Linked DNA regions of Canis lupus familiaris. The main gene of each other region encodes a partner of the protein of the gene in region 4 in a complex. Links are inferred from orthologs where the notes say so. Each region holds a gene or a part of one and is shown on either strand. Other genes may lie near its edges. The genes, in order: MED23, MED13, MED24, MED4, MED8, MED31 and MED20.

The links.
Region 1: MED4 (region 4) and MED23 share a complex: the UniProt entries of both Homo sapiens proteins name them as parts of the mediator complex. The link is inferred for Canis lupus familiaris from reciprocal best matches to the Homo sapiens genes MED4 and MED23.
Region 2: MED4 (region 4) and MED13 share a complex: the UniProt entries of both Homo sapiens proteins name them as parts of the mediator complex. The link is inferred for Canis lupus familiaris from reciprocal best matches to the Homo sapiens genes MED4 and MED13.
Region 3: MED4 (region 4) and MED24 share a complex: the UniProt entries of both Homo sapiens proteins name them as parts of the mediator complex. The link is inferred for Canis lupus familiaris from reciprocal best matches to the Homo sapiens genes MED4 and MED24.
Region 5: MED4 (region 4) and MED8 share a complex: the UniProt entries of both Homo sapiens proteins name them as parts of the mediator complex. The link is inferred for Canis lupus familiaris from reciprocal best matches to the Homo sapiens genes MED4 and MED8.
Region 6: the proteins of MED4 (region 4) and MED31 are in contact, whole or in part, in a cryo-EM structure (PDB 8TRH), measured with the Homo sapiens proteins. The link is inferred for Canis lupus familiaris from reciprocal best matches to the Homo sapiens genes MED4 and MED31. Residues at the interface, in NP_054885.1 of Homo sapiens: Glu147, Tyr151, Arg154, Ile155, Asn159, Ala160, Val161, Cys162, Ala163, Pro164, Trp167, Arg173, Arg174, Pro175, Tyr176, Pro177, Met182, Leu186; in NP_057144.1 of Homo sapiens: Gln19, Glu23, Gln26, Cys27, Ala29, Asn30, Pro31, Ala64, Lys65, Tyr66, Leu67, Lys68, Tyr69, Pro70, Gln71, Asp98, Ile102, Trp105, Gln106, Tyr108, Ser109.
Region 7: MED4 (region 4) and MED20 share a complex: the UniProt entries of both Homo sapiens proteins name them as parts of the mediator complex. The link is inferred for Canis lupus familiaris from reciprocal best matches to the Homo sapiens genes MED4 and MED20.

Annotation. Positions count from the first base shown.
Region 1 is NC_049233.1:378,422-382,809, reverse strand, and holds the end of MED23 (mediator of RNA polymerase II transcription subunit 23), read right to left. Parts: intron 3,897-4,388; coding exon 3,765-3,896; intron 1,520-3,764; coding exon 1,352-1,519; 3' UTR 177-1,351; downstream 1-176. UniProt on the Homo sapiens protein: Required for transcriptional activation subsequent to the assembly of the pre-initiation complex. Component of the Mediator complex, a coactivator involved in the regulated transcription of nearly all RNA polymerase II-dependent genes.
Region 2 is NC_049230.1:34,697,818-34,702,205, reverse strand, and holds part of MED13 (mediator of RNA polymerase II transcription subunit 13), read right to left. Parts: intron 4,332-4,388; coding exon 4,183-4,331; intron 2,655-4,182; coding exon 2,481-2,654; intron 1,021-2,480; exon of another isoform or gene 946-1,020; intron 1-945. UniProt on the Homo sapiens protein: Component of the Mediator complex, a coactivator involved in the regulated transcription of nearly all RNA polymerase II-dependent genes.
Region 3 is NC_049230.1:22,463,761-22,468,148, forward strand, and holds part of MED24 (mediator of RNA polymerase II transcription subunit 24), read left to right. Parts: intron 1-21; coding exon 22-254; intron 255-398; coding exon 399-455; intron 456-1,902; coding exon 1,903-2,014; intron 2,015-2,144; coding exon 2,145-2,295; intron 2,296-2,599; coding exon 2,600-2,713; intron 2,714-3,257; coding exon 3,258-3,305; intron 3,306-3,694; coding exon 3,695-3,777; intron 3,778-4,046; coding exon 4,047-4,133; intron 4,134-4,388. UniProt on the Homo sapiens protein: Component of the Mediator complex, a coactivator involved in the regulated transcription of nearly all RNA polymerase II-dependent genes.
Region 4 is NC_049243.1:3,372,746-3,376,119, forward strand, and holds part of MED4 (mediator of RNA polymerase II transcription subunit 4), read left to right. Parts: intron 1-1,116; coding exon 1,117-1,203; intron 1,204-2,452; coding exon 2,453-2,584; intron 2,585-2,775; exon of another isoform or gene 2,776-3,374. UniProt on the Homo sapiens protein: Component of the Mediator complex, a coactivator involved in the regulated transcription of nearly all RNA polymerase II-dependent genes.
Region 5 is NC_049236.1:16,884,835-16,888,699, forward strand, and holds the end of MED8 (mediator of RNA polymerase II transcription subunit 8), read left to right. Parts: intron 1-180; coding exon 181-325; intron 326-847; coding exon 848-988; intron 989-1,184; coding exon 1,185-1,266; intron 1,267-1,628; coding exon 1,629-1,877; intron 1,878-2,713; coding exon 2,714-2,778; 3' UTR 2,779-3,043; downstream 3,044-3,865. UniProt on the Homo sapiens protein: Component of the Mediator complex, a coactivator involved in the regulated transcription of nearly all RNA polymerase II-dependent genes.
Region 6 is NC_049226.1:30,898,046-30,901,186, forward strand, and holds the end of MED31 (mediator of RNA polymerase II transcription subunit 31), read left to right. Parts: intron 1-1,881; coding exon 1,882-2,074; 3' UTR 2,075-2,318; downstream 2,319-3,141. UniProt on the Homo sapiens protein: Component of the Mediator complex, a coactivator involved in the regulated transcription of nearly all RNA polymerase II-dependent genes.
Region 7 is NC_049233.1:10,766,329-10,771,265, reverse strand, and holds the start of MED20 (mediator of RNA polymerase II transcription subunit 20), read left to right. Parts: upstream 1-1,796; 5' UTR 1,797-1,935; coding exon 1,936-1,949; intron 1,950-4,703; coding exon 4,704-4,858; intron 4,859-4,937. Other genes in the region: BYSL (bystin), read right to left, coding at 1,112-1,379. UniProt on the Homo sapiens protein: Component of the Mediator complex, a coactivator involved in the regulated transcription of nearly all RNA polymerase II-dependent genes.

The DNA.
Region 1 (4,388 bases), on a different chromosome or scaffold from region 4:
AGTATGGTTTGTCAAACTTCTCTGATTCTTTATAAAAAAAAAAAAACAACAAAAAGCAGTAACTCTTAATTCCTAGGCCAATGTCAGTCACCAACTATAGTGCACAACCCATAGAAACAGCCCAGTTCTCTGTTGTAACCCAGTCAGCATACTGCCTGGAACACAGCAGACACTTGTTCAGACTGAATAAATAATCAAACCGTTTATTTATCCAACAGATTTTACTGATTATTTTTCAAGTCTTTTACAATCTTAATGCCATTCTCTCTCTGCCCAAATTAACAGTTTGTCTTTCAAAATCTGATAAACCCTAAAGAACCAAAAACTATGCTATATTTAAAAATACAAATACTTAAAAATTTTAAGATTTTTTATAAAAATTTAAAGAATCGCATCATAGGCCAGGTCAAAGTGTCAAACTTGGAAAGCAATTAATTTGTTTTAAATAACAGAGATTGGAGAATCACCATTTAAGCATGATTTTATTAAGTGTATGCATTTCTATGTTATTTATTTTTTAAAGATTTTATTTATTTATTTATTCATGAGAGACAGAAAGAGAGAGAGAGGCAGAGACACAGGCAGAGGGAGAAGCAGGCTCCACGCAGAGAGCTTGATGTGGGACTCGATCCTGGGACCCCACGGTCACGCCCTGAACCAAAGGCAGATGCTCAACCACTGAGCCACCCAGGTGTCCCTCTATGTTATTTTCTTACATGGCTTCCAACTCATTTCATACAATAAGTTCAAGTCCACAGCAAAGGCAACTAACTTGCCAATCTACGTTGATAGAACCATTAACCCATTTATTTGGAAGCCTATGGTAAAAATTTTAAGCCATTTTTAAAAGAATATGCAACTGTGTTTGGTCCTGAGATGCAATGAAATCTAGAGGCCTTCACTTGACAAAAAAAAAATCTCTTATCCCAAACATACACCAAAAGAGACTTATGTATAAAATCATTTGAGAACTCTTTTCCAATATATTTGAACACTGAAGTCATTAACAATAAAAATTAAAAATAAAACCAGTGGCTAGAATAAGAAAGACTGGAAGTATCTAATGAAACTCATTTGACCACAGATACCCTCCGTATTACTAGGTAGCACTAACAGTTATAGATATGGCCAACATGTAGCTTACTTGATCTCTTAGAGACAAAAATATAGATAGAGAGGTGGGAGTCATAAAGTATCAGTAGATTCATCGTTTGAATCAAAATAAGACAATCTGAACATCACTGCTTCTACTACACCACTATGTAGCCTGATTATGTTCAGATTTAATAGATTAGAGTCCATTTTCAAAGACAAATGTATTTCCATTGTCAACACCGTACATGAGAGGACTTCACTGAGTTACTGGTAATGACACTGGCACCTGATTAGACTGAGGAGCTGGAGACCCACTATTTATGGCTTGTGGAGGCACTGCAGGTGGTTCCATCTTGCTAATGTGTGTGATGAATCGAAGACGAAGTTTTAAAGCTGGTTTTAAATTACAAATAATCTTCTCTACCTAAGAAATAAACACATTAAAAAGTATTTTAACCAGAGAATTTCAACCTCCCACCCTTAAAAAAGTGCTTTATACACATATGGAGGCAATAAACTAGGGAGTGGATGAGAAGTTTCTTTATGTGTTTTATGTTTTAACAAAAGCAAATAAAATCATTTCTCTCTTACATGAGGAAAAAAATTGTGTTCTCCCTCAAACACATTATGTATGTGCATATGAGTATGTACATATAGTCTATATATGTATCAACTTACAAAAACATACTCACTTACCTAGCCAGCCAGTCATCCCACTGTGAAAAGTTAATATAGCTTACACTAGAAATTAAAAAAAAATTTTTTTTAAATTTTATTTATGATAGTCATACAGAGAGAGAGAGAGGCAGAGACACAGGCAGAGGGAGAAGCAGGTTCCATGCACCAGGAGCCCGATGTGGGTGGGACTCGATCCTGAGTCTCCAGGATCGTGCCCTGGGCCAAAGGCAGGAGTCAAACCGCTGTGCCACCCAGGGATCCCCTACACTAGAAATTTTATGCATCCAACCAGCTCACCATCCTTTTCTTTTTCAAATATATATTTTTAAGATTTATCTATTTAGGGATGCCTGCATGGCTCAGCAATTGAGCATCTGCCTTTTGGCTCAGGTCGTGATCCTGAGATCTGAGGATCGAGTCCCACATCGGGCTCCCTGCATGGAGCCTGTTTCTCCCTCTGCCTATGTCTTTGCCTCTCTCTGCGTCTCTCATGAATAAATAAATAAATCTCTCTAAAAAAAAAAAAAGATATTTATTTATTTATTTACTTGTGAGAGAGAGCGAGCAAGTATAAGTGGGAGGGGCAGAGGGAGAGGAAGAATCTCAAGCAGACTCCGAGTTGAGCACGGAGCCTGACACAGGTCTCCATCTCATGACTGCAAGATCACAACCTAAGCTGAAACCAAGAGTCAGACACTTAACCAACTATACCACCCAGGCCCCCAGTTCACCACCCTTTTCAAATGCCATCATCACAGAAGCATGATTAAACTTTGAAGTTATATGAATAACTTATATCTGTAACATTTATCTATAAATTAATGTTTTGGTTTTGATTTATACTTGGAATTCAAACAAAATAATATTAGATCTACTTTTACTTAAAATATTTTAAAGAAATAAAAAACATCAAGCAGTTCCATGGTTTTCTTAGCTTTATTCAAATGTTCTTTGACCTTACCAGAAGAGATTGCCCAATAATTTTTCTTTTCTGTATTCCCTGTGTCAAAGTTTCTCAGGTCCAGATATAAAAGATATGCTAAATAAAACATTTCTGTATTGGTTCCCACTCAACTGTGACAATCTTGCTGAGGCAATAAGGGAGTCAATATCCTCCCCACCCCATGTCCCTAGCTCCAAGTCAAGAATCCAGTAGACTAGGATTCATAGGTTTAAATATCAGTTTACCTTCCTTTCCTACCAGAGAAAAAATTAACGTTAAGCTATGGAGGGGAGGTCATTTCACCTACCTGACCTACCTCTTCCCTCTGAAAGAGCCAAGCTTCTGTTTCCTATAGATAGGAAACTCAGTTATGATTCAAGGACATCCTTTCCATTTTCAGATCACTTTACTAGGAACTGGCTCTTTACATGCTGAGCAGAATGTGCCTCCCTTTAACTTTACTGGAGTTTATACGCCTTTTGAAGTGACACAGAACAAATCTAATGCCTATTCTGAATGGCAACCTTCCAAATAATGAGAACACGAACAATTCCCTAGGACTTTGAAAATTCAATCTAAGTACCTCCAGTTCCTTCAAATACCCTTTATGAATTATTCCCTTGATCTTCCTGGCTTCAGTCTTCAAGTCATGCTGCAATCTGTCCAATGTCCTCATAGTGCATACCCTAGTCACTGTGGCGAAAAGTAGAATCTCCTTCACTCATTACACAGCACCTCTCTGGTCTTTAAAAAGTAGCCATTCTGTATTGTTTCTTCCTAATGAGAGTACTATTTATCAACTACCTAGGTCTTTTCCAGATGTCCTGTTGCAAATATCAAGGGGAAAAGTATGAGAAATTATAACATGTATTCACTATTACTGGAATTACATATGTAGAATAATGTGCTCATAGCCTTAAAAAGGTCTGATAATATTAACCTTTTCCCCTTAAAAGAAAAAACATAACAAAAATACTCAAACAAAAGTATATCAACATATGTTCAAGTTTTCTAAAGTAAACATCATTAAAAGATAAAGTTAACTTACTTGTTCTTTTACGCTGTCACCAGTAAACATATACTTCATATGATATAGGAAGTCACAGATGGGATCCATGTAATTTAAGTGGGTGCTACACTGGTCTACATTCAGTAACATGTCATAAAATGCCACGCCAATCTATTTAACAAATAATATAAAATTATTTAAGTGGGCAAAAATGGTTCAATAATTTAGAATGATGCAGCTGGACTCCATTATAAGACTAACACAGAAAGACAGCACATTTGTTGAAGAATTGTCACTGATCATACAAACCTCTATGTGCATGGGATATATGATATGGTCTGCATCTTTTTTAAGATTTATCTATTTCTTTGACAGAGAGTTATATGTGTGTGAGAGCGTGCACATGAATGGGGGGAAGGGCAGAGGGAAAGAATCTCAAGTAGACTCCCCAGTGAGCAGGGAGTCCAAAGTAAAGCTCAATCCCACCACCCTTAGATCATGACCTGAGCCGAAATCAAGAGTTGGATGCTTAACCGATTAAGCCATCCAGGTGCCCTGATATGGTCTTCATTTACAAAGGAATCAAAGTGCTACAAAATGCTCCTTACTAGGGCTTAAATGCAATTTCTCTTCATATTTCAGTAATGTTCCTTAAAATAAAGA
Region 2 (4,388 bases), on a different chromosome or scaffold from region 4:
ACTATAAAGATGCTTCTTGTTCTTGCTTACAGAAGTAATTTTCAAGTGCATAGCTTATATTCAATCTTACTTTATTTTCTTTAGCTCTATTTTTAAGATCACATAATAATCCTAAAAGAATTTACATAAAAGTCATTTAAAGTTATCTACTTTTTCAGTGTAACATGCCTAGATGTGTCAATGTTTAAGGAAGCACTAAGCTGATAAACCTCAAGAGTCTGTCTACAGGTTACACAACTTTAGACTATGCACATCCACATAGGTCTAGCACTGAAAAATGTAACAGGAGTAAGCATATGCAAATATAATGCTTACAAAAGCTATACATTTTAAAGCTACCTGTGGTGGAACGGTGAGGACTCTAATGCAGTGCATAGAGTGCCTTCTTTTGCCCATGCAATTTCATAATGGAGGCTTAGTGACAACTGCCACACCCATTCTGGTATGACAATGAAGAGTGGAAGAAAGGAATTTCAATTAAAGTGAATCATTTTTTGTTTACGGAGTCATTATATATAAAGTGCTAAAAAAAACTATGAGAGATGGAGAAACTCTTAGCAGATCTCATTCCATATACTGTAAAAGGTACTATTTTATATTTAGGTGATCTCTCCTCTACAACTGTAACATGTATATAAATTCTTGTGTTATATATTCAAGGATATAATCAAAGATATATATTTTTTAACTGCCCATAAACTCTTAATTTATAAGTTATAAGCAAAAGTCTCGGCAGATCACTACAAATTAAATGAATATAGTCAGGACCAGAAATCACCATTTAATTTCTATGATAAAAAGATCTTTTAATCATCTAGGTAAAAATCTATTATTTTTCCAAGTAAACAGAAACACATCAGGTGGTATTTTTGCCTATGGTGTAGGAAATAAGATGGAATGTATGAAAACAAAAGGTGAACAAAATTATGGTAAATTATGCCTTACCTGGTAATTCAGACCAGAAGTCCTAATCTTGTTACACTGTATCTGAGGGTGAATGCCCACTTTACACTATCCTCTCTGCAAATAAATATTGAGTAGAAAAGAATCTGGATAGTCCCTTGGACTTTTTGTAAAGTGGTGTTTCCTAAAAAAATGTTCCGTGAAACACTAAGGTCATGAACTATTAATTGGTGTTACACAATCGCTTTCTTGTGTATTAAAGTAAGTTTGGGAAATAGGTATACAATGGTATTTGCTGCTGTTTTTCAGAGGCTTTAATGTGCATACATGTATTTTAACAACAAAAGGGGGTAGAAAGCATGTGCAACACTTCCCAAAGGACCAAAGAACCCTTTGTTTTGTAGAAACACCAAGGACTACTATTTTGCAGAAACACACTTGGGAATATGTTCTTGTAATGAGGTCTGTATAGACCACTGTACATATATTGGAAGGGGAAGAAAAATCTTATGATAAAACTTTATTACCTTGGCTGACACTTCCTAATATATTATCACATCAATAGTCAATTCAGATCAACAGCTGTTGTATTCTTTATGAATGTGCTACAGAAGTTCAATGCTTAGTCTCAAATGTCACTGACTCAATGATATGTGGGCTAAGGGTATCAAGATTTAATAGCAACAGGCTTAAAAGAGAGCAAGCCTATTGGTTCAAGTACCCACGAAAATATAACCCCAAGAAACTAAACCACAGTATCCGACTTTACCCTATAGTAAAAATCAGTTGGCAAGAAGTTAGGTTACCCTGACTTCTGGAATACAATAGTCAACTTCTGTGCGTATATATAAAAATAAATGAATCAGATCTGAATTTCCTATTTTGGAATAGTAGTAAGAAGCAGCAGTAACAAACTAACAAACTCTGGATAGGACTTTCACATTTCATTTTACGATTTTATAATGTATTTCAACCTTGATATGTCACTTGCTAATGAACTTGTTTTGATAAATAAGTCACTATGGATCTGAGAATCTCAGTACTTGAAAACCACTTAATAGTTTTACACAGCAATTTACACAAAGCTAGAAAAAAAATTTAAGGAGGTAGTAAATGGACCTATTATCAAATATTCTTACAAAACTATGAATCCTTTAAACCCAAAATACTGTGACATAATAGCAGTAGGATGTAATTCAAAGAACAGCACAATCATGAAAGGATCCAGACTGCAGTCCTGAGTCTACTACCCATTTATGACTTTGGAAAAATGAGTTTTTCTGAACTTTAACATGCTCACCTAGAAAATGAAAAAGGTTAGATTAAAAGTAATACAAGTTTCACCCAGCGCTAAATTTCCATATGTGCAGCTGCAAATAATAAGAACAAATGTCCCAGAAATATGTCCAAACTTAGTATCAATTTAAAAAGTAGAGCTGTTTTGTAATTAGAGAACTTCTTTGTGACTTTGTCATATTTCACAGTGCATTTAATAAGACCTTAGACACTTCTCGATATTTCTTAGGAATTAAGCATCAATTAGCATTATTTAGGAACTGGCATAGAAATGGAAATACCTTAAGAAAAAGGGGACACTGATATTGTGCTTGAGGACATGCTGACCAGAACCAGTCAGGTAACGGACCCGCTTTGGCAGTTGATACAAAGTAACCGAGGGCCAATGGTTGCTGAAGAATATTAGTTACTTCATCATGAGATTCTGTTGAAAGTAGCCGATCAGTACCCTGACCCTTAAATAGAATTAAAAGTGTGTTAGTTCATTTGATATACCTAGGCACTCGATACACAGAATGGTTTATGGCAACCAATCTCTTTTTATCAATTTAAAAAAATATTAAAGGATACTGAAAAAATCAATTGCTATGTACTTAGTAAGACCATAATTAGTAACAATATTAAAAGAGTTTTAAGGGTTGTATGAGGAAATTAACATACCAACTGTTTAACAAGTTGGTAGTATTATGCTGAGTCATGTTCAGTGTGTTCCAACCAAATGTTTAATGAAATTTCAACTTATTTCCTAATACTCCCTCAACTAATTCCTGACCACCACACCTCAATCCAAAAGATAATTTAAATTTCACTTTGTTCATCTAATACTATAAAATGTAGTTATTAGCGTTTGGAAAGCATTATGGCAATGTGAAGGGACATCTAGTAAGTGATGCTCATATCCTTTAGATTAGTCCATGTAGTTCTTGGTATTTATGTTAAGGAAATAGATAAAAAGAAGCAAAATGATATGCATGGAAAAGTTCATTGCAACATTACCTATAACAGATAAAAATAAAATATTTAAAGGTCCAATATTTTGGGACATAACAAATTATGGGAAAACAACATTAAAAAGCTGATTATACTTATTTATACATATTGAGAGCTGCAATATAAATATACGTGAAAGGAAGGTAATTTGCTAAAAGTAAAAATGGTTTTATTAAAGTAGTGAGATTAGTGGTGCATATATATAGCTTTTCAATAATCTAATTTTCCAAGATTTTTTTATTTTTATGTAATCTCTACACCCAATGTGGAACTCAAACTTAAAACCCCGAAATCAAGAGTTGCATACTTTACTGACTGAGCCAGCTAGGTACCCCAATAATTTCACTTCATTTCAGTTAAAAAAAAAAAAGGAAGAAAAGGATACAAGGTAAAACTGGACAAAGATCCTCCCTTATTTTAAAGACAGGCTTCTAAACATATGCATGCTATAACAATCAAATAATCACTATATATAGTTTCACCCAAATAAAGATGTAATTCAAATCAAGCCCAGTTAGTTTTGAGTTCAAATAGAAGGACAAGACAGCCTGCTTCCCAAATACTAAAAATTAAGACAGAGGGAAGGAAAGTGGTCAGCATTTCTTCTGTTCTTATGAGAAAAATCAGTATTTCTATTGTGTTCCTCCTCACAACTCTGATAATGAATGGCAGCTCTTAGAGCATACACTAATTCTCAGATAATCTGATCCTATACCTGATCAGAAGCTACAGTAAAGTGGCAGGAAAACTACAAAAGGAGGACTAAAGCCAAGTAATCTAGAAAACAGCAAGTCAAGGACAGTAGAAACTTAGAGACCCTCTTTATAATGCATAATTCAAAATACTAACATCTGTAAGACAGATGTGCAAGAATGCACCATTAATCTCACTTCTTGCTCATTTCCAAGGAAAAAACAGTATTTCATTTCTCTATCCATTACACGAAGTTAATGAACAACGTTTAGATTAACTAAGCTTTTATAACAGGGTTACCTTGCCAGCATCACCTCCATGGGGGTAATGAGATCCTGGAGAATGTACGGGAGACCCCGTTGGAGATGCAGGAAGAATATTAATAATATCAGGGTCAAGATCATCTCCGGTGTCTAACAAATCAAAGATACCCATTCCATCTGCTCCATCTATACAGGAAAAGGAAAAATAAATACTCTATTTTTCACATCCCACGGTCATTTAGA
Region 3 (4,388 bases), on a different chromosome or scaffold from region 4:
TTTTGCATCCTTTCCCGGTAGCTGTCATGGCAAAGCAGAGGAGTGCATCGGGCTGTGCCGGGCCCTTCTCAGCGCCCTCCACTGGCTGCTGCGCTGCACTGCAGCCTCTGCGGAGCGGCTCCGGGAGGGGCTGGAGGCCGGCACTCCAGCAGCTGGGGAGAAGCAGCTTGCCATGTGCCTGCTACGCCTGGAGAAGACCCTCAGCAGCACCAAGAACCGGGCCCTGCTCCACATCGCCAAACTAGAGGAGGCCTGTATGTCCCCTGGTTCCCCTGAGCCCCACCTGCCACTGTTCCCATAGCCGGTTCTTTAATTGAGAGGGGAGAGGCAGGATGCCATCCCACTTCTTTCCAGGAGGATCTGAAATCATCCCACTTCCTTTTTTTTCTCCCCATAAGCATTGCATACATCCCAGGGACTTGGGCAGGGTGGCACCCGAGCCAATCAACCAACAGGTATTTACTGAGCATTATTGTATGCCCAGCACTGTGCCAGGTGCTGGGGGCGGGGGGTGGGGGGCTACCAAAGGAGCATGTGGCAGGGTCCCTGCCCTCAAAAAGCATACATGCTAGTGGGGAGCAAGACCAGTATGTAATATACATGGAAGAAATTAGAGGACAAGAGAAGCACACCATCCATCCTTGTGTTTGTCTCCACACTACTCATCTGAAAACAAATGCCTCTTGTTGTTTGAGTGTTGCCTAACATGTCCCTTTAAACATGGTACCTGTCTGCTATCAGGCCTGTTGTATCATACACCTCTTGACTCAGGTGCAGATGTTAAATATTGGAACTCTCCAGAGTCTGAGAGGAGACAGATAGGAGGGGAAACTCTAGTGTTTCTGGACATGGGGCCCAAGGCCACAGTCGTGTAGTAGCTTGAGGCCACCTAAGGTTCTCTTACTCTCCAGCAGCAAGAATGCTAGAATGGATTACACCCAGGTCTTCAGGACCTGTTTGGAGAATTTATTATAGGATTTGTATATTTGTTACTTCTTAAAGTATGTTTTGTTACCTGTCAAAAGTCCAGAGAGATGATCCCTCCATAAAAATGGACTATGTTGATAGTGTCTTACCTATCTTGAGCCCTTGACAAAGGTTTTAGTGGCTGAAAAGTGAATGAATATTTACCTTAATTTTAATGGATCTTAGGTCTTACCTTTTTGTTTTTTTCCCCATGCCACATGGAGGTTAACAGGCTAGTTGGTACCAGTATTCATCATTTGACCCTCTGGAGTTGTAACTAGGATAAGTGACTCTTAATTAAGTGCAAAATAATTCGGTATAGACCGTGAAACAAGCATTTAGGAGGAGAGGTCAGTGGGTTGGACCAGTTGGGTGAGTTGTGGAAGGAAGGATCTGGGCTTGAACAAAGGCTTGAGGAGAGTGAGTTTGTGAGGTGGTGATGAGTGTGGGCACCTGCAAAGAGGGAGGGCAGTGAGAGCAGAGGCCTCAACAGGGCAAGGCAGGGGTGAACCCGGGAGGCTGGTTGGGAATCTAACTTAGCCCTATATAGTGGTGGCCGCTTGCAAGGCTGGCTGCTTCTAAGGCGATTTGTGGCTGCCTCCCTGTTCTAGCTGCTGGACTCCAGCCCCGCTGTGCCTCTCCCTGCCACTGCCCATGTTAAGCCATATCTGTGTTAGGCTCTAAAGTCAGCTACGTGCAACCCTAGGAGGCAGGCCTCTGGGGATAGTTTCTAGGGCCTTCACTGTTGGTGCTCACCTCCCCATCCCCCTTCTAGAAACCGTGCATGCTGCCCTCAGGCCCCTGGCCTCCATGTCATCCTCAGGGGAAACCTCCATGTGTGTGTTTGAGGGCCCAGAGAGGCCAGTTGAGGAGCTCAGGGCCAGTGTCTTCCTCTCTGTTTGCCATCGTATGTCTGCATGTCCTTTTCTCCACCAGCCTCCTGGACTGCCATTGAGCATTCTCTCTTGAAGCTCGGGGAGATCCTGGCCAGTCTCAGCAACCCCCAGCTCCGGAGCCAGGCTGAGCAGTGTGGCACGCTCATTAGGAGGTACTGGGCCCCAGGCTGATTGGGGTGGAGGGAGAGAGGAAAGGCCCTGGGTGTGGGTGGGGAGATGTGGCTCCTGGCCTCCACTCACCTGCTCTCACCTGCCCCCTCGCTGTGTACCCGTTCCCTTCAGCATCCCCACAATGCTGGCTGTACACTCGGAGCAGCTGCACAAGACCGGCTACCCCACAGTTCATGCCGTGGTCCTGCTCGAGGGCACCATGAACCTGACAGGCGAGACCCAGCCCCTGGTGGAACAGTTGATGATGGTGAAGCGCATGCAGGTGGGGGGCCCAGGGCTGCTTCTCCATCAACATGGTGGCCTGGCCACTTGGGGCAGTGGGGAGGATTCTTCTGGTACTTCTTGGGAGGAAGGGGATTTCTCCTGATCCCATGGTGGCAATCAGATCCCTGTCGTGCACGGTGGTGCCATTTCACCTGTTCTCACATTGGAGTGGTGAAGCACCTGTCCTGCACAGTCTCTGAGCTTGCCTGACCGGCCCCTACCATCCCCCCAAACCCTGGGACCTTCAGAAGATGAAGGGGGATGGACACCCTCTTAGTCTTCACTTTCGGATCATCCTACAGCATATTCCCACCCCACTTTTTGTCCTGGAAATCTGGAAAGCTTGCTTTGTGGGGCTCATCGAGTCTCCCGAGGGTACGGAGGAGCTCAAGTGGACAGCATTCACCTTCCTTAAGGTACCTGGCACATGGGAGCAACAGAGCCAAGTCTAGAAATGGTTCTCAGGAAAAGCAGCAACACCTAGGATCTTTGTCCAGCATTTCTCCCTGCTGGTGTTGGCTGCAGCTTGCCAGGTCCTCCGGTGCAAGTTCCCATCGAGTCTTTTCTCTGAAAGTCCTGGGGCTATATTTAGCCTACTTGGCAGGCGTGTGCCATCTCTTAGCACACAGGTGCCGTTTAGCTCAGTCATCAGCAAGATTGGCGCGGGGCAGTTATAGGAGCCAGAGCAGTGGCCCCGGTCCTTGAATCAGGATTCCCTTTGCTTATGGCAATTCCTTGTGGAGACAGCAGAAGTGAGGGGTCTCTGTGTCCTGTAGGCATTGGGCACTAAGCACTTAGATGCCTGCCAATTTTCTAATTTGGCCCTAAGAGTACTTTCATTTCCAAGGTGGAAGGGATCCTGCGTCTGTTCAGAACAAGGAGATGGAAGGGATGCCTTTAGTTCTGGGGGAAAGAGAGAAGAAATTGATCTTCATGTTTTTCTCTTGCCTCACTCTCTAGATTCCACAGGTTTTGGTGAAGTTAAAGAAATACTGTCATGGGGACAAGGTAAGTTGAAGAAATGAGATTAGGGGAAAGGTGGTCATGGGAATTCGTGAATCCTTGTTTCCACAAGGGCAAAGGAGAAATGGGCAAGGGAGGGGTCAGTCTTGCATTCTTGCACCTGGGGGCAGGCTGGAAAGGTAAGTGCGCATGCTTGTGTGCATGCCCATTCTCCAGATAGAGGTGGCCAGGCCACACGAGATGCAGAGGTGACCAGGGCCAGTGTAGAGATTGGTCCTCTACACTCCTCCCTGTCATGTCACTGGAAGCCAGTGGTGGGCATGGCCAACTTTTTGGTGTTTATGTCCAATGGGGTGTCCTCGTAAACCTGCATCACAAGCTATGGGTGGAGTAGAGGACCCAGAAGGCAGATGGCAGCTTCTGGCTCTTTGTAGGACTTTACCGAGGATGTCAGTTGTGCTTTTGAGTTCCTGCTGAAGCTCACACCCTTGCTGGACAAAGCTGACCAGCGCTGCAAGTACGAACTCCCCTAGCTCACCCCTGCTCTACCTTCTAGAAGGTGTTCTGGCTCTTCCCCAGCTCCTTTGTGCCAGGCCAATCTCAGGGGACTGTCACCTGGTTCGTACCCCTGAGCAGGGGCAGGAGGCCCCAGCCCCGTAGTTGCTGGGTGCCAGAGCCCATCTGCCATCCTGAAGGAGGGAGGAAACGAGGCAGAGGCCTACTGTCCCCATCCCTCAGTCATCCCTGCTGTGTGCCCAGGCCCCTCATGATCTTTTTCCCTCACAGCTGTGACTGTACAAAATTCCTCCTCCAAGAATGTAGCAAGCAGGGGCTTCTGTCCGAAGCCAGTGTGACCAACCTTCTGGCCAAGCGGTAAGCATGAGTTCCCCCCGGCCTGGCTGACGTGCCACTTGCCCCCCTTTCCTCCTGTCCAGGCTGGACTGCTGGGTGCCTCTCCCCTTCCCGTGCAGGTGCCTGGGGCCATGCCTAGGCTTACCAGGAGTGGCAGACACGGGTTTCTGTGCACTAGGCTTCTGCACCCTTGGGTGCTGCACTTGAATTCTCACCCTCTGTGAACACAATAAAAATCCTAAATCTTCCTTTAATCTCAAGTGAACTTTCAGAGTT
Region 4 (3,374 bases):
GGATAGAGAGTGAAAGAAAATGTGCAGTGGGCGACTGAAGTGAAACGAGAGTGTCCTGAAGTCAGAAGTAGATGTGGCTTTGGGATGTGTGCACATTTAATGGTGCAACCCCAGCATGCCTCCTTTTTTTTTTTTTTTTTTTTTTAAGATTTTATTTATTTATTCATGAGAAACACACAGAGAGAGAGGCAGAGACACAGGCAGAGGGAGAAGCAGGCTCCAGGCAGGGAGCCTGACTTGGGACTCGATCCTGGGACTCCCCGATCTGCTGAGCCACCCAGGGATCCCCCTGGTTTATAGATTATTTACCTATAATCACCTCAGAGTTATCTAACTTTCCTCCTCTTTTCCTATTTCAGATAACCACTGTTAATGTTTAGTGTGTGTCCATTTTTTAGGTGTTTAATGCAAATACATATATATACATATATTCTAAAACAAAAACCAGGTCATGCTGTATGTATTATTTAGCAGCTTACTTTTTTTTTTTTTTTTTTTAAGATTTTTTTTGAGTGGGGGGAGAGAGCACAAGGAATGGGGAGGGGTAGAAGGAGAAGCAGACCCACTGAGCAGGGAGCCCAGTGTGAGACACCATCACAGGGCCCTGGGATCACGACCTGAACCAAAGGCAAATGTTTAACCAACTGAGCCACCCAGGCATCGAGCAGCTTAGTTTTTAAATCTAATGAGTATATTGTGGACATGTTTCTACTTGGGTCTACTTCTTTCCTTAGGGTCACGTTAAGTCACAATTGAGTGGTGTAGTATGAGCTGCTGCTTTAATAGCTAAGCTGTTAATGCAAGACAAAACACCCTTTCCTGTGTCTTATTTGTGTTCACTGTTGCTTTCAGAACAGTAGGAATGTTTAATGGTAGTTAGAAATCAAGGTCAGTGGGCATTATCATGCTAATGTCCCAAATATGATGCTTTATCAGCTGTATTTTCTAGATGTCTTGTTCTTTAGTTGGGAAATCTTATATGATTTAACAATATACATATTAGTTTTTATTAGGGAAGGTAGGTAACTCGGATTATCCTATTTTCAGGTAATTTAAAATTTAGTAAGTGACTTGTAAGTTACTAGACTAACATGTTACTCTCTCTTCTTGACTCAGGTGCCATCTCCTCTGAAGAAATAATTAAATATGCACATAGAATAAGTGCAAGTAATGCTGTGTGTGCTCCACTGACCTGGGTTCCAGGTAAAAACACTTCTCTTTTTATTAGGTATATATGGTTTTGAAAATTCTTAGGTAACTATACTTAAAAATAGGAAAAAAGATTTAAATATAGGATATATTTATCCTTAGAAACATCCTCCGTATATTTTCATATCTTTAATATCTTACAAGTAATAATTTGGGTTATGGGTTTATCAGTTTGGTTTTCTGCAAAGCTTTTGCTATAGAGACTGTGTTTTTGTCCTTTTTAAAGAAAAATCATAAATTGATGTTTAAAAGTACGAGATGATATGTAATGATTCTAAGCTGTAGATTTATATGTCTGTAATACCCAGGCTGGCCAGAAGCCCACTTCTTAGAACCATTGGGATTTCGTCAAGGGTTCTGGCCTTGGAAACGAGACAGTCCCAGATCTTCAGTGATACAGTGAAGCACTGAGTGCTCACAAACAAACACATGGGACTGGAAAGAGCTGGAATAATTAGAAACAACAAAAAGGGGTAACAAACTACAACATACATTGACAGCACATAAAACATTTATAAGACAGGGACCTGCGGTAGAGCAGTAATCTTCTGGGAGGAGTGGGAGAGTATCTCAGCATCAGAATCTCATGATGGTGGCATTTCACCATACTAAAAACACTAAGATTAACTGCAGTTTTGGAGGTGAGTGATCTGGAGTAAGAAATATTACTAAAAAGTTGGTCCAAATCTGCCAAGTTTTCATTATCCCAAAACTATCATGATTAGAAATGAAAGCTCCTGATAAACCTCCACTGGAAAGTTCTAGGAATTAATCTCTAAATGACAAGATCAAAGAGGTTGATTAGAAAAAGTTTTAATTTAGGTAGTCCTTCAAATAAGCAGTCCTTTCTGTCTTGTAAAAAAAAAAACAAAAAAAACAAAACACCATATATTTATTCTCCTTCAGAGTATGTATCATTTGTTCTTACTAGGAAATGTGGGTAACTTAGAAGACTCAAGATCATTATTATTTTCTTAATTTGTCATCTAGAATTGCTAAAATGACACTTTTTTTTTTTTGTATGGAGAATAGTATATTTCTGTGCAGATTCAGAGAAGAAATGCATGTATTTTTAAATTTAATATATTATGCTCTTAATCACAATTGATAAGATGACCTTCCTGTATGAAAATTGAAAATATATTTCTGAGTTTTTCAAAGAGAACCAAGGAAAATCAATACTTCAGAGAAGGTATTGCTGCTTATTTTGCATAAGATTCAATTAAAAGCAGTCTTTTTTTAGGGGACCCACGGAGACCATACCCAACTGATTTAGAGATGAGAAGTGGATTATTGGGTCAAATGAACAATCCTTCCACGAATGGTGTAAATGGTCATTTACCAGGGGATGCACTTGCAGCAGGCAGATTGCCAGGTAATACTAATCAGAATGGGGTTTTCAAACACACCAAAGTTTTTAAGACATGACTGTCTGGCTGTTGAACAAGTTTGAGAGTCTAGACCCAACTCGTTTTAATAGCTAGGTTTTTTGCCAGTTATCCTGCTCTGTAGATCAAAAACTGTTCTAGTTGGAGTTTATGAAATTAGAACAAATTGATTTCTCTGTCATTTATTGATAGTTTATTTGCCTTGGCATTAGGCCTTTAATTATTAAAATCTAAACAGCTTTTTAAATAAAATTGTGAAATATACTGTACCAACAGAATAAGAAATATAAATGTTCATTTTAAAGAATACAAAGTGAAATCACTCTTGAAAAACTCCCAAGTTAACAAAACGAGTAACAACTTTTTACTTTTGAATAACTAAATAGCACTTCTGTGAGACTTGGGCTGTTTTGAATTTCAGCCTTCCTCAAGTTTTACATGTAGTTTTGCGTTATTACATTTATTTTGTTTCCCACCTTTTATCTTCTGTAGGTGACTTGTTTTGATTTGGTAGAACATTTAAAAAGTTTTTTAAAACTGCTTAAAGGACAAACTGAGAGCTCACTGTGCATTAGTTTCCTTTGATATCTTTGCCTTTTTCTCATTTGGGTTATTCCATATCCTGCCAGTCACAGGCCAGTCAGGAGGCAGAAACCACATAGTAATATGAACAAGGAAAATTTAAAGAAAATTTGGTACTGACTACTAAAGGGTAAAGAGAGCTGTTTTTAAAAAATAGAGCACTAACAGATGCGGGAAGCATCTGTGGCCCACTGG
Region 5 (3,865 bases), on a different chromosome or scaffold from region 4:
GAAACTAAAAGCGTGTCCCGTTTTCATAACCCCACAATCCCTGGGATCCAGTCTGGTTCCTGCCCAGTCCAGCTGTAGTGCTCTGAGTCTTTTTCGAGTGAGCCTGGGTATTCCTAGTCTGAAAGACCCCTTCGAGGCTACTTTACTGAGAACATTGTGACACCTTCTTACCACTACCAGGCCGTCTGTCCTGGACAGCTTCGCCTTGCTCTCTGGACAGTTGAACACTTTGAACAAGGTCTTGAAGCATGAAAAGACACCGCTGTTCCGCAACCAGGTCATCATCCCCCTGGTGCTGTCTCCAGACCGTGATGAAGATCTCATGGTAAGAAGAGAAGAAGGGCATAACATGGGAAATTAAATTCTTAGATGAGGGCTTAGGGCACAATTGTTGCTTGGTAATTTTAGAAGTTCTGAATGTGTAGTGTGTGGTAATAGAAAGCAAGGGCTGCTTTATTGAGGCCTTTTTTTCCTTCTGGAATTGGGGAGCTACTTCCAAGTAGTGCCAAATAAACCTGAGGCCTCTGTGCCCAAGGCAAAGACCTTTCTCCTCCAATATCTATCTTGAGGAAAAAGTGTGTTCTTTTGTGATTTTTGTCTGTTTTGGTATTTTATTAAAATGTAGCAAAGAGAAACTTGCCTCTAGGTCTGGTAGAAATAGAGGTGTGAGCAGATAGAAATGAAGCAGGGAGTAAGAGCAACAGTGTTCTAGGAAGCCAGATACTGTAAGTGTCAGGCTGTGTTTTCCCCAAAAATGTACCATTTGCCAGTGGAAGGAGCTGTGTAGCAAGCCAGATTGAATTGTCTTGGATTGCATGGGAGGATCAGTAACATCTGTGTGTTACAGCGGCAGACTGAAGGACGAGTGCCTGTTTTCAGCCACGAGGTGGTCCCTGACCACCTGAGAACCAAGCCTGACCCTGAGGTCGAAGAGCAAGAGAAGCAGCTCACAACAGATGCTGCTCGCATCGGTGCCGACGCAGCTCAGGTTGGACCAAGTCACTGCCCTGCTGCTCCCCCCTCCCCTGGGGCCCTTCATGAGAAGCTGGGCAGTACTGTTGGTGTCTGGTAGGGGTGCGCAGTTGATTATATAAAAGTTGCCCCTGGAAGAGCACAAGGAACAGCCCTCATCACAAGTATTTCCTGTCTGCTCTGATCTCTGCACAAATGTATGTGTGTTACAGAAGCAGATCCAGAGCTTGAATAAAATGTGCTCAAACCTTCTGGAGAAAATCAGCAAAGAGGAACGGGAATCTGAGAGTGGAGGTATGGAAGGATTGGTGGCAAAAATGGAAGAGGGAAAGGAGGAGAAGATGACTGGACTAAGACTGGTGGTTTGGGTGGTGGTGAAGTGAGGATAGAAGACAACTGCTTAGGAGAGGGATGTGTCCATTCTGTTTGCCGTTTATACTGAAGGCCAGCCCTGGAGCAGGCAGAGGAAAGGGGCAAAATGAGAAGGGATAATTCTGAGATAGTTGTGGGGGTCTCTTGGGGTCTCTTTCTCTGGGCTGCTGGTGAGTGTGGATGCTGCTGAAGCCCTGAGGCTCCTGGGGCTGGTCTTCCTGCTGCCAGGTTTAGTCCAGGGTCAGAGGCGCATCGCAAGCTCCTCACTTCCCCTTTTTCTTCAGGTCTCCGGCCAAACAAGCAGACCTTTAACCCCGCAGACACCAATGCCTTAGTAGCAGCTGTGGCCTTTGGGAAGGGGCTGTCTAATTGGAGGCCTTCCGGTAGTAGTGGTCCTGGCCAGCCCGGCCAGCCAGGAGCTGGGCCGATCCTTGCTGGAGCCTCAGGATTACAGCAAGTACAGATGGCAGGAGCTCCGAGCCAACAGCAACCACTGCTCAGTGGGGTGCAGATGGCCCAGGCAGGTCAAACAGGTAAGGTGGCGGAGGATGACATGGTAGCAGACTCAAAGCAAGGAAATAGGGATAAGCTGGATTGTCTGGGCCCCCAGTATCCCAGAGTTGGAGATTTTCTCCTATCCTCCTTGGACTGTGACCCAGAAATCAATTTTTAAGAGTAAAAAAACTCTTTTGAGACTCTGTAGCAGGTACCAGCGAAAGGAAGAACTTCGAGCAGCAGGAACTGCACCTCCCAGCCCCATCTTAGAGCTCTGTGTCAACTACCTTCTTGTCCCATTTACTCTGGACACTGAGTGTGCTGTTGGGGTCTTAGACCAGTGGGTGGGCCTCAGTTAAGACCACTCAGTAGGGATGCTGGGATTGAAAGACAAGCAAGTTATGTGTACTCTTTTCTTTGTATTCAATCTCTCTGATCTACTGTTAATAGTTATGAGAACAGTCTGGAGGAGTTCAGATGTGCGTAGCTAGAAGAGGTGTTTTGTGTTTTGTTTTGGTTTTTTTGTTTTTATCCAAAGCCCTCCAGGAAATGGAGCAGTTACAGTAAGAGAGAACAGTCTTTCGCCTGTGACAGTAAATGGGGTCTAGCTGTCTTTTCCGGAAGTAGCTGAGCACGAGACTTGCTGGGGTGTGTTCTGACCCCTCCTACTATCAGTCCTTTTTTTCCAGATACCTTCCGGGAGAGGGCTGGTCAGGACCCACACCTCTAATCTTTGCTACCCGGGGTCAGAGGCCACAGAGGTTCTGAGCTGAAAGAGCGAAAGGGTGGCAGAAGGGAGCCTGGGAGACCACCTCTCTGATTTATCATGAAAGTCTTAAGGTGCTTCAGGTGTCTTTCTTCATATTCCTTTTAGGGAAAATGCCAAGTGGAATAAAAACCAACATCAAGTCTGCTTCAATGCATCCCTACCAGCGGTGAGTGTGGCCGGCAACTTTTCCCAAAGCTGGACTAGATGGGTACAATAAAGAGAACATGGGCTTTCAGCGCCAGACAGGTTCCAGCTGCACCACAGACGAGCTGAGTGACCTTGGGCAAGTGACCTGATTTTTCCGAGCCTGTTTTCTTTGTAAATGGTGATACCTACCTCATAGGGTTGTTGTGAGGACTGAAATGAGAAAATGAATGTAAAACAGTACAGCCTATGAAATAATGAGCATTCAATAAATGATAGTTTCTACAGCCACTTCTCCCACTGCCCTCCTCAGTCCTGGATCCAGAACCCAGCGGGATCTGATACTCCTTCGTGTCAGCGGTGAGCTGACGGACACAAGATCATGGACCACTCTGTTCTGTTTGGAAGCCTGTCCATATTTTATGGTGCCGGAAACTGTCACAGCCTGTGTATGTCTTTAGAGGCATGTCGGCTCCACAGGCCCCCCCTGCCCAGGTTCCATCAGGGCCATCTCTCCAGGCTGCCGGCAACGGGGCTTCTGGGCTGGGTCAGAGGGTCCACCCACAGCTCTGGTGAAGCGTGGGCCTGCCCTCCCCTCTCCTTCACCCTATCTTATACACATCCAAGAAGATGCTGAAGGTCTAGTAGGTGTGGGGTTCCCAGGAAGTGGCTCTACCAGGTAGGACTGTGTGAGAAAGGGGCTTTGTTAGCACATGAAGCCCCTTCTCCCTGGACTCATTTTTCTTATTTTAGAGGGAGAGGGGAATCACGCTTCACACCGTCTTTCTTCTGGGTTTCATTGCTCTCATAATAGCTCCTGGTTCCTGGACTCGGGCCAGGATGGCTTTCCTCCAGTCCACTAAAACTGTGGCTCAAATGAGAGAGCCAGATTGCTGGTGGGTGGGGACAGCCCTCAGGACCTCTGCATGCTTTACATAAAGCTGAAGAGCAGAGTGAGTTGGGTCTGCAACCTAATCCCCCTTTCTTGGTGCTCCTTTGCAGGCAGGGGCAGGGTTTGAGTCCGGAGAAGACCAAAGGGTTTCTCTGAAGTCCTTTAAATTGATGGCCACGGGGTCCATGTTAGCCGACAGTGATTTACGAGGGAGCTCTCTA
Region 6 (3,141 bases), on a different chromosome or scaffold from region 4:
TTCTCCCTCTGCCTGTGTCTCTGCCTTTCTTTCTCTCTGTGTCTCTCATGAATAAATAAATAAAATCTTTAAAAAAAAAGTTTTCTTAATGGACTCACTTAGATTTTGTATCTTTTCTATTTGAAATAATGTCACGTACAAAATAGCTGGAAAAAAATAGTAAAGAGAATTCCTGTATATTCTTCACCCAGATATTGTAAATGTTAACATCTTCCTGAGAACATTGATGTTAATATATTCTGTAGTCTGCAGACCATTCTGATTTTTTTTTTAAGATTTTATTTATTTATTCATGAAAGAGAGAGGCAGAGACACAGGCAGAGGGAGAAGCAGGTTCCATGCAGGGAGCCTGAGGTGGGACTCGATGTGTCCCCCCATTCTGATTTTGTCGGCTGTCTCATTAATGTGCTGTGTCTGAGGCAGTACCCGGTCTAGGCTTCTAGGTGACATTTTGTCTCTGGGTCTTCTTAGTCTTAACCTGAGTTTCCTGGTACTATTTCCCTTATACCTGTGACCCCAAAGTGATACTGTAAGCTTCTTGGTATATCCCACCAGGGTTCCTAGGAAGTCAACCTGACCTACTACTTGTGATGTTAATTTTGATCCCTTGGTTGAGGTGGTGGCTGCCAGGTTTCTCCATGTCAAGTTACTAGTTTTCCTTTGTTTTTAGTAAGTATCTTGTGAGGAAATTTTTTGAGACTATGTAAACACTTTGTTTCACGTCATCCTTCTACCCCCTAATTTTGGCTCTATGGAACAATTTTTACTGCTCTATGGAACGATTTTTACTGTGATTTTCTATAATTTTTTCTACTTTTTTTGTTGTAGTTCAGGCATAAGGAAGGAACATTCTCTTATTCCCTGTTTATTTAAAAGTTATATCCGTGTGGGCTCTTGGATTCTATTTATCTCTTGGATTGTAATCATGTGTTTTCTTGGTGCAGATTTGGCCTGTAGGAGCCCCTTCAGGTTGGCTCCTGAGTACCTGGGACATATGCCCTTAGTGTTTGGAGTACTTGGCTTTCTGGTACTACATAAATGTCCCCAGCTCATCTTATGCCTTAGCCCTGGAATCAGCCATTTCCCCCATTGAACGCTGGAAGATGCTGTTGGAAATGTATGATCTGGGCGCTGAGTGTGCTTGTTGGTACCACAGGGTCCTTGTTTCTAGGCCATCTTTGGAAGGTGTGTGTGTGTGTGTGTGTGTGTGTGTGTATTATTGTGTCTACTTCTAATCTTGAAAAGCGATCATGCTGATGTTTTCAACTGCTGCTCCATAACATAGGTCCATCCTAGCCTCCCGCCTTTCCCGGTAACTCCTTTTCTCATAGTCGGAAACTTGGCTTTTGTTATCTATGGTTTATTATTCACTTACTTGGCTGCTCAGGTTTAGAGTGTATGTGAAGTAATTCCAGAATTGTTCTATCCTCATGGGACTCTAGAACACAATGTTCGTACATAGTTCTTTGTGAAATGGACTCACTTTTGAATAAAAGTTGTCTTTATCACTATTGATGGAAAACCAGTAGTTATCAATTAAACAGATAATTACTAAAATAGAGTGTTCATCTTCCTCACCTTGGATGCCATTAGAATAGAGTAGCTTGGTTTGCCCTCAAAGCTGGATTCTGCCTACCAGTTATTGTGTGGTCTTGGGCAGATTGTTGAATCTTTCTGAACTTGTTTTTTTACTTTTTGAAAATTTTGCATCTTGCTGGCTCTTGCTGCCTGGCTTCTCTGCATTAGCAGGGAAAGAGAAGTGACCTGAGTCAATGTTCTAGAAACGGCTGGTTCCAAGATCACTTTGAGTGAGTGACTGGACTGCAGCTTGGTGCTGTTGACCAGATCACGTGGATGACTAACTTATGCCCTTAAATCCAGGTACCCTCAGTGTCTGCACATGTTAGAGCTGCTTCAGTATGAACACTTCCGCAAGGAGCTGGTGAATGCTCAGTGCGCCAAGTTCATTGACGAACAGCAGATTCTGCATTGGCAGCACTACTCGCGGAAGCGGATGCGCCTTCAGCAAGCCCTGGCAGAGCAGCAGCAGCAGAATCACGCGGCGGGAAAATGAAACCCTGGGGCCACCCCGGTCCTGACGTGTACATGCTGCTTTTGTACCATGAACACACAGACTCTCTAGCTGCCTTGGTGGGGGTAGCACCTAGAAGCTTTAGTGTACTGTTTCATCCAAATAACTTTCTCTTGTTAATAGATTACTTCTGTCAACCAGCGTTGTTCTACTTTGGTTTCCTTGTGAATTTGTAAGTTACTAGTACCTAACCAACTGAATAAAAACAAACGTTAGGTGATTTAAACCAGCCCAAGGATGCAGTGAGGGATGGGGTAAGGTGGGGGGGGGGGGGCACCAAACGTCCCGAATTCTGAGCCGAGCTCTGTTCCCCACATACAGTGGGGCCTGGGCAAGTCCACTGCCTCTGACCTTCCTGTCTCCTTGTCTACAGAATAAGAGGAACAGAGTCAGTGATTTCCTTAAATGAGAGCAGGATCTGCAAGAAGGAGTTACTGCTGTGCGAGAGGGCTTCAAGAAACAGTTGTTGGCAGTCACTGACCTACTGATGGTGGGGAGATAGATCAGTGGCTAACTTCTAATTGGACTCTTGACTTTGGACTAGAATAAGGAGGAGAAGCCTCAAATATGTGCGATCATCCAACCGCTAACATTTATGTGGCATGTGCTTCATTTGTTCACGGTTCACCTGCAGAACCAGGCTTGTCTGCGGTTACACAGCTCAGAACTGCTCATCAGTGTCACTGATGCATGAATTGGGGCTCTTGCCACCATGAGGTTATATAACAGTCTCCAAGCTCTCTCTGCCACCCACCTCATCCAGCATAGTAAAAGCAAAGTGCCTGCAGTGAGTAGAGGCTGGATTAAGTGTGCTCTGCTCTCCACTGGTTAGGTTCAGTTCTACTTTCTAGAGCCAAAGAAGATGCTTTAGGAGTAACAGTTCTTTATAAATTTGTAGCATTTATGGTAAAAGATGCTAACTCCTTTTGAGATTTGGAATTTGTTTTCTGTACTGGTAGAGACTTTTAGACATTTCTGTCACCTCCATAATCCATTCCCTTGTGCTATTACTGTCACCCTTGAAGACTTGACTTACCTACATCTTAAAG
Region 7 (4,937 bases), on a different chromosome or scaffold from region 4:
TATGAAAAGAAGAGGTCCAAGAACCAAACTTGTGGCATATCAATGATAAAAGGCTGGGGACAAAAGAGCCAGCAAAAGATGCTGAGAGGTGAAGAAGTACTAAAACAGGAATGGGATGGCTCAGAAGCCAAGTAAAGATACCGAACCCAGGAGGCCAGTGTTTAATTGTGTCAAACACTGCTCTCAGGACAAATGAAAGATGTGACCTGAGAAATGTATTAAGTGACCCGGAGGTCAACACTTACACCCTAAAAAATTAAAAAAAAAAAAGACCATCTTTTTATTAGTCTCTCTCCCTCTTTATAGCACCTAAACAATATCGTTCATTCTGCTTAGAGCTCTCTCTCCACTAGTTTTCAGCACCAAAGTCATGTAACCTAGGAACCCTGACCCCCAAAACTAATGCTCTTGTTTTAAGATGAAACTATACTTAAAAAAAAAAAAAAAGATTTTCATTTATTTATTTACAAGAAACACACAGAGAGAGGCAGAGGCATAGGCAGAGGGAGAAGCAGGCTCCCCGCTGGGATCCCGACGCGGGACTCCATCCCAGGACCCCGCGATCCTGCCCAGAGCCCAAGGCAGATGCTCAACCACTGAGACACCCAGGTGTCCCAAAACTATACTTTCATCATGAAATGTATTATTCGAATCGTCAATTTAATTGTCTCTCAGGTTAGACTGTAAGATCTTGAAGTCAGGGTCATGGCTATCTTGCTTCCTTTTTTACTCAAAACCATCTAAACTCCTACCTAGCACAGTGCAAAGTACGGACTAGACAACCTACAAGAATGTACAGAACAGATGGATAAACGTTAGGAGTGCTCAATAGTGTGACCAATTAACTTCTTGTTGGTCTAACTTAGAGACTGCCTAGACGCAAGCATCTAAAGCAACAAGTGGGCATAGAGAGCTCTGACCACCCTGAATCTATTCCAGGGCTGGGTCTCCCATTTCATCACCTTTGCAAGGGTGTGATGCGGACTCCTTATTCAATTTCACTTTTTTTATTCCAAAGGATTCCCCTGGCAGAACCTTTTGGCCGTCTATCTACTTCCCCCTCCCTCCAAAACTAACCACCCTCTTCCTGGCACCCCCCTCCCCCACTTACCCAGACGCGTGGTGCGCTCGCGCGGGGCTGCGGCCTTGTTCCCAGTCCCATGCTCGGTCTCGAGTTCCTCCTGTTGCTGCCGCGCTTGCTGCAAAATCCGTCGGGTCAGCCGGGGCCCCACATACTCTTCGTCCTCCTCTCTGGTCCCACGACCCCGCCGCTTCTCCCGGGGCCCTGCCCGCGCCGCGTCCCCAGCCAGGATTTGCTCAGCCAGCGGCGCATGTTTTTCCTGGCCTGCAGCTCCGCGAGCCGGCTTGAATTTGGGCATTTTTTTCCAGAACTCTGCCAGAAAGGTTTACACGTGGGGTACAGACGAGGAAAAAAAAAAAAAAAAGCCTTGAGCGCACTTGCGCCGTGAAGTCCCAGCTCCCAAGAGGCCCCCGCGGAGCTCACAGCGCCTCCCGGCGTCCGGAGGCCGGGAAGGCCATCAGCGCCGCCACACCCCGTAAGAGCGGGGCCTGGAGCCAGCCGGTCCCCGAATGAACTCACTGCTTCTAACGCTGGCTTCTGCAAGTGGTGGCAGTCCGAGCGGTGGTTTTCTACTTTCATAGATCGAGGACCTCTGTTCCCAGCCAAACGTGGACTTGCCTAGCTGCAAAGCCGGGGCCAGAGTTGGGTAGTGACGTCACTGGAGGCGTCACCGAGGAGATGCCTAGACCTGCCCCTGTTCCTCGTGGGCGCGTCGACTGGACGCTCTCCTTTTGCGTCATTTCCGGAGCACCTCCCTCGGCCGAAGCTTTCGTTAGGGGTCTTCACTTAGTGTGGGCGGCCAGAGACTACTGTGATCCGATTGTTTGTTCCTGCCATCCTCCTGGCCCGATACCATGGGAGTGACTTGGTAGGCCCGCAGGGGACTTTTTTGGGCGGCGCTCGGGGTCGGGAAGGGCCCCGGAGCCCGGAGTGTACCGGGAGGAGGGCCGGGACCAGGGACCGCGGTCCCCCATGAGCTGATGAAGATAAGATATCTTCGGAACGTGTGGGTGATGGAGACGCTGCGAGGGCTGCAGATTCTCCGCGCTTGTTTGCTCGGAGACACTTCCCTTCGTCCTGAAAGGCGGCAGGTGAAAGGTTTTGTCCCAGGAGCCCATCAGTGGTTGTGTTCCTCCTTCCCAGGAGGCCATAGGGCTGCCCGAGGTGGAAATTAAGGATGCCCGAACTAGGACCCAATCTACAGGCGTAGCTAGAGGAGGTAAAGGATAGGCAACGAGGAAACCGTCTTTTTTTAAAGATTTTCTCCTGCCCCTCCCTACAGCCACTTAATGCAGTTAGACCGGCCCGTGTCTGGTTCTGGTGCGGCCGTCTTAAGATTTTCGGTCTAGAGGGAAAAAAAAAAAAAAAATAAGCAGCAGCAGCTGTTGGGAGGTAGATTGGGGTTTAGGCACGTCACCTCTTCAGAATTCGTTTCCTACTATGTTTAATTGTATGGTTGGTGTAACTAATTACTATGGACTTTTAATCTCTCAACATGATATAAGTGGGGTGGCAGAGAAAGGTATGGGCCTAATGCTCTTGGAGAAAATGCTAGATTTTAGGGATTGTTTTGTTTTGAGTACCGGTAAGTATTAGCACGTTTCTAGTTAGGGCTGGAGCCTGTGGGAACCACTCTTTTTTTAAAAAAAAATTTTAATTTATTTATGATAGTCACACACACACACAGAGAGAGAGAGAGAGAGAGAGGCAGAGAGAGGCAGAGAGACATAGGCAGAGGGAGAAGCAGGCTCCATGCGGGGAGCCCGACGTGGGATTCGATCCTGGGTCTCCAGGATTGCACCCTGGGCCAAAGGCAGGCGCTAAACTGCTGCACCACCCAGGGATCCCTGGAGCTAGTCTTTCTGATAGCTCAGGTTCTTGTAGGCTTGTCGGTTACTGCACCTGTGTTTTCTGCAATGGATATTTTAAGCCTTTTCTAAGTTTTCTAGTGTAAGGGAGTGTATGAGGGTTGGAAGGAAAAGCTTGCAGCATAGAGGCTTGGAACCTGAAAGCCCCTGTTCTTTCAGCAGAAGACAGAAAGATGGAATGGGCCCTCAGTCTGTTGGGACCCTTAGCAAGTATATCACACTCCTGGTATTTCGGACCCGTGTAACGTCAGTTTAGATATTCTCTTATGTTTGTCAGTAAAGGCACGTTATCCATTGCTTCTGAGTTCATCTTCTGATGGAGAGTAGGGACAATTTTTAGCAACAGCAGTAGTCCCTCCTTTCCTCCCTCCCTCTGTGGTTGATTGATCATAAAGTAATGTCTTTGAGAATTCAGTAATATGTATGGTTTTTGTTTAGTTAAGTGTACCACCTGAAGTATTTATGAATTTTTTTTTTTTTGAATCTGTTTAGTTTTCTTAGAAGCATTTTAACCGGCAACTACTTGTTTAGGGAAGCAATCTAGTATAGTGAATAAGAACACAGACATGGAACCAGCATGCCTGGCTTTGAATCTTGGCTATACCACACCAAGCTATGTGACTTTGTGCAAGTTACTCAACCTCTTTGTTCTTCAGTTTCCTTACTTATTACAAGGAGATAAATAATAGTCATCTTCTAGGGCCGTTGTGAGGATCCAAATAGTTTATTTGTCTAAAGGCCTTTTGGACACTGCCTGGCACGTGGTTGGTGCTTAATGATTGTTACCTACTACTATTTTTTTTTTTTAAGATTTTATTTATTCATGAGAGACAGAGAAAGAGAGAGAGAGAGAGAGAGAGGCAGAGACACAGAGGGAGAAGCAGGCTCCATGTAGGGAGCCCGACTCGGGACTCGATCCCAGGTGTCCGGATCAGGTCTCGGGTTGAAGGCAGTGCTAAACTGCCGAGCCACCCGGGCTGCCCGTTACCTACTACTCTTAAGGGGAGGTCGGTTTCACTTACCATAGAAGGAATCTTGGAAATAACATTTTTATCTCATTGTTTTGATTTTATTTTTGTACATATCGTTGCCTCTGACTCCTAAAGATTACAGACTTGAGGCTTGCTTTCTCTTTGATCCTAGGGCTGTTGAATAGAATTTTCCATATTGGCGGAAATGTTCCATAACATCACTGTCCAATATACTAGCCTCTGGTCACATGTGGCTATTGAGCCTTTGAAATGGGGTAGTGCAGCTGAGCAGTTGAAGTTTTAATTTAACTTGTTTTATTAGTTTAAGTGTAAATAGCCACATGTGGTTTGTGGCTACTGTACTGGACAACACACCTTCAAAATGTTAGAGAATTGGTAAAAACATACTAACCTCAAACAGATTTTCCTAATTTAGGCAGAACTGAAGGAATTGCAAAGGACATCAGTGTTATGGATTACTCTGTGTGCCACCTAAAACTGCTTGAATGTTGGCACACGTGTCCTGGTTGGAAAATGCTGCTGTGATAGGAAGTTCACTAAGTTGGTAGGAGTGTCCTGAGACCTGTGTTCTAGTTCTTAGTGGAGCTGTTAGGAACTGTGAGCCTCTTATTTCCTCATCTTTAAAATGAGAGAGACGTTCAGGATACATGGTCTCTAAGATAACTCCTGGCCCTGAGGAGCTGTGATTCTGTGTGTGAATGATTGGCTCAATGAGTGTGCATATGCCTCTGAATACTTATGATTTGGTCTTTTCCCTTTCAGTGTATCCCAGATGCCTGTGGCCGAGGGCAAGAGTGTCCAGCAGACGGTGGAGCTCCTTACTCGGAAATTGGAGATGCTTGGGGCAGAGAAGCAAGGAACATTTTGTGTGGATTGTGAAACCTACCATACAGCTGCCTCCACTCTTGGCAGCCAAGGTCTGTGAGATGGGTCTGCAGGGTGACTGGACCCTCACTTGCAGTTGATTGACATTCATATTCATTGAAATCTTTATGC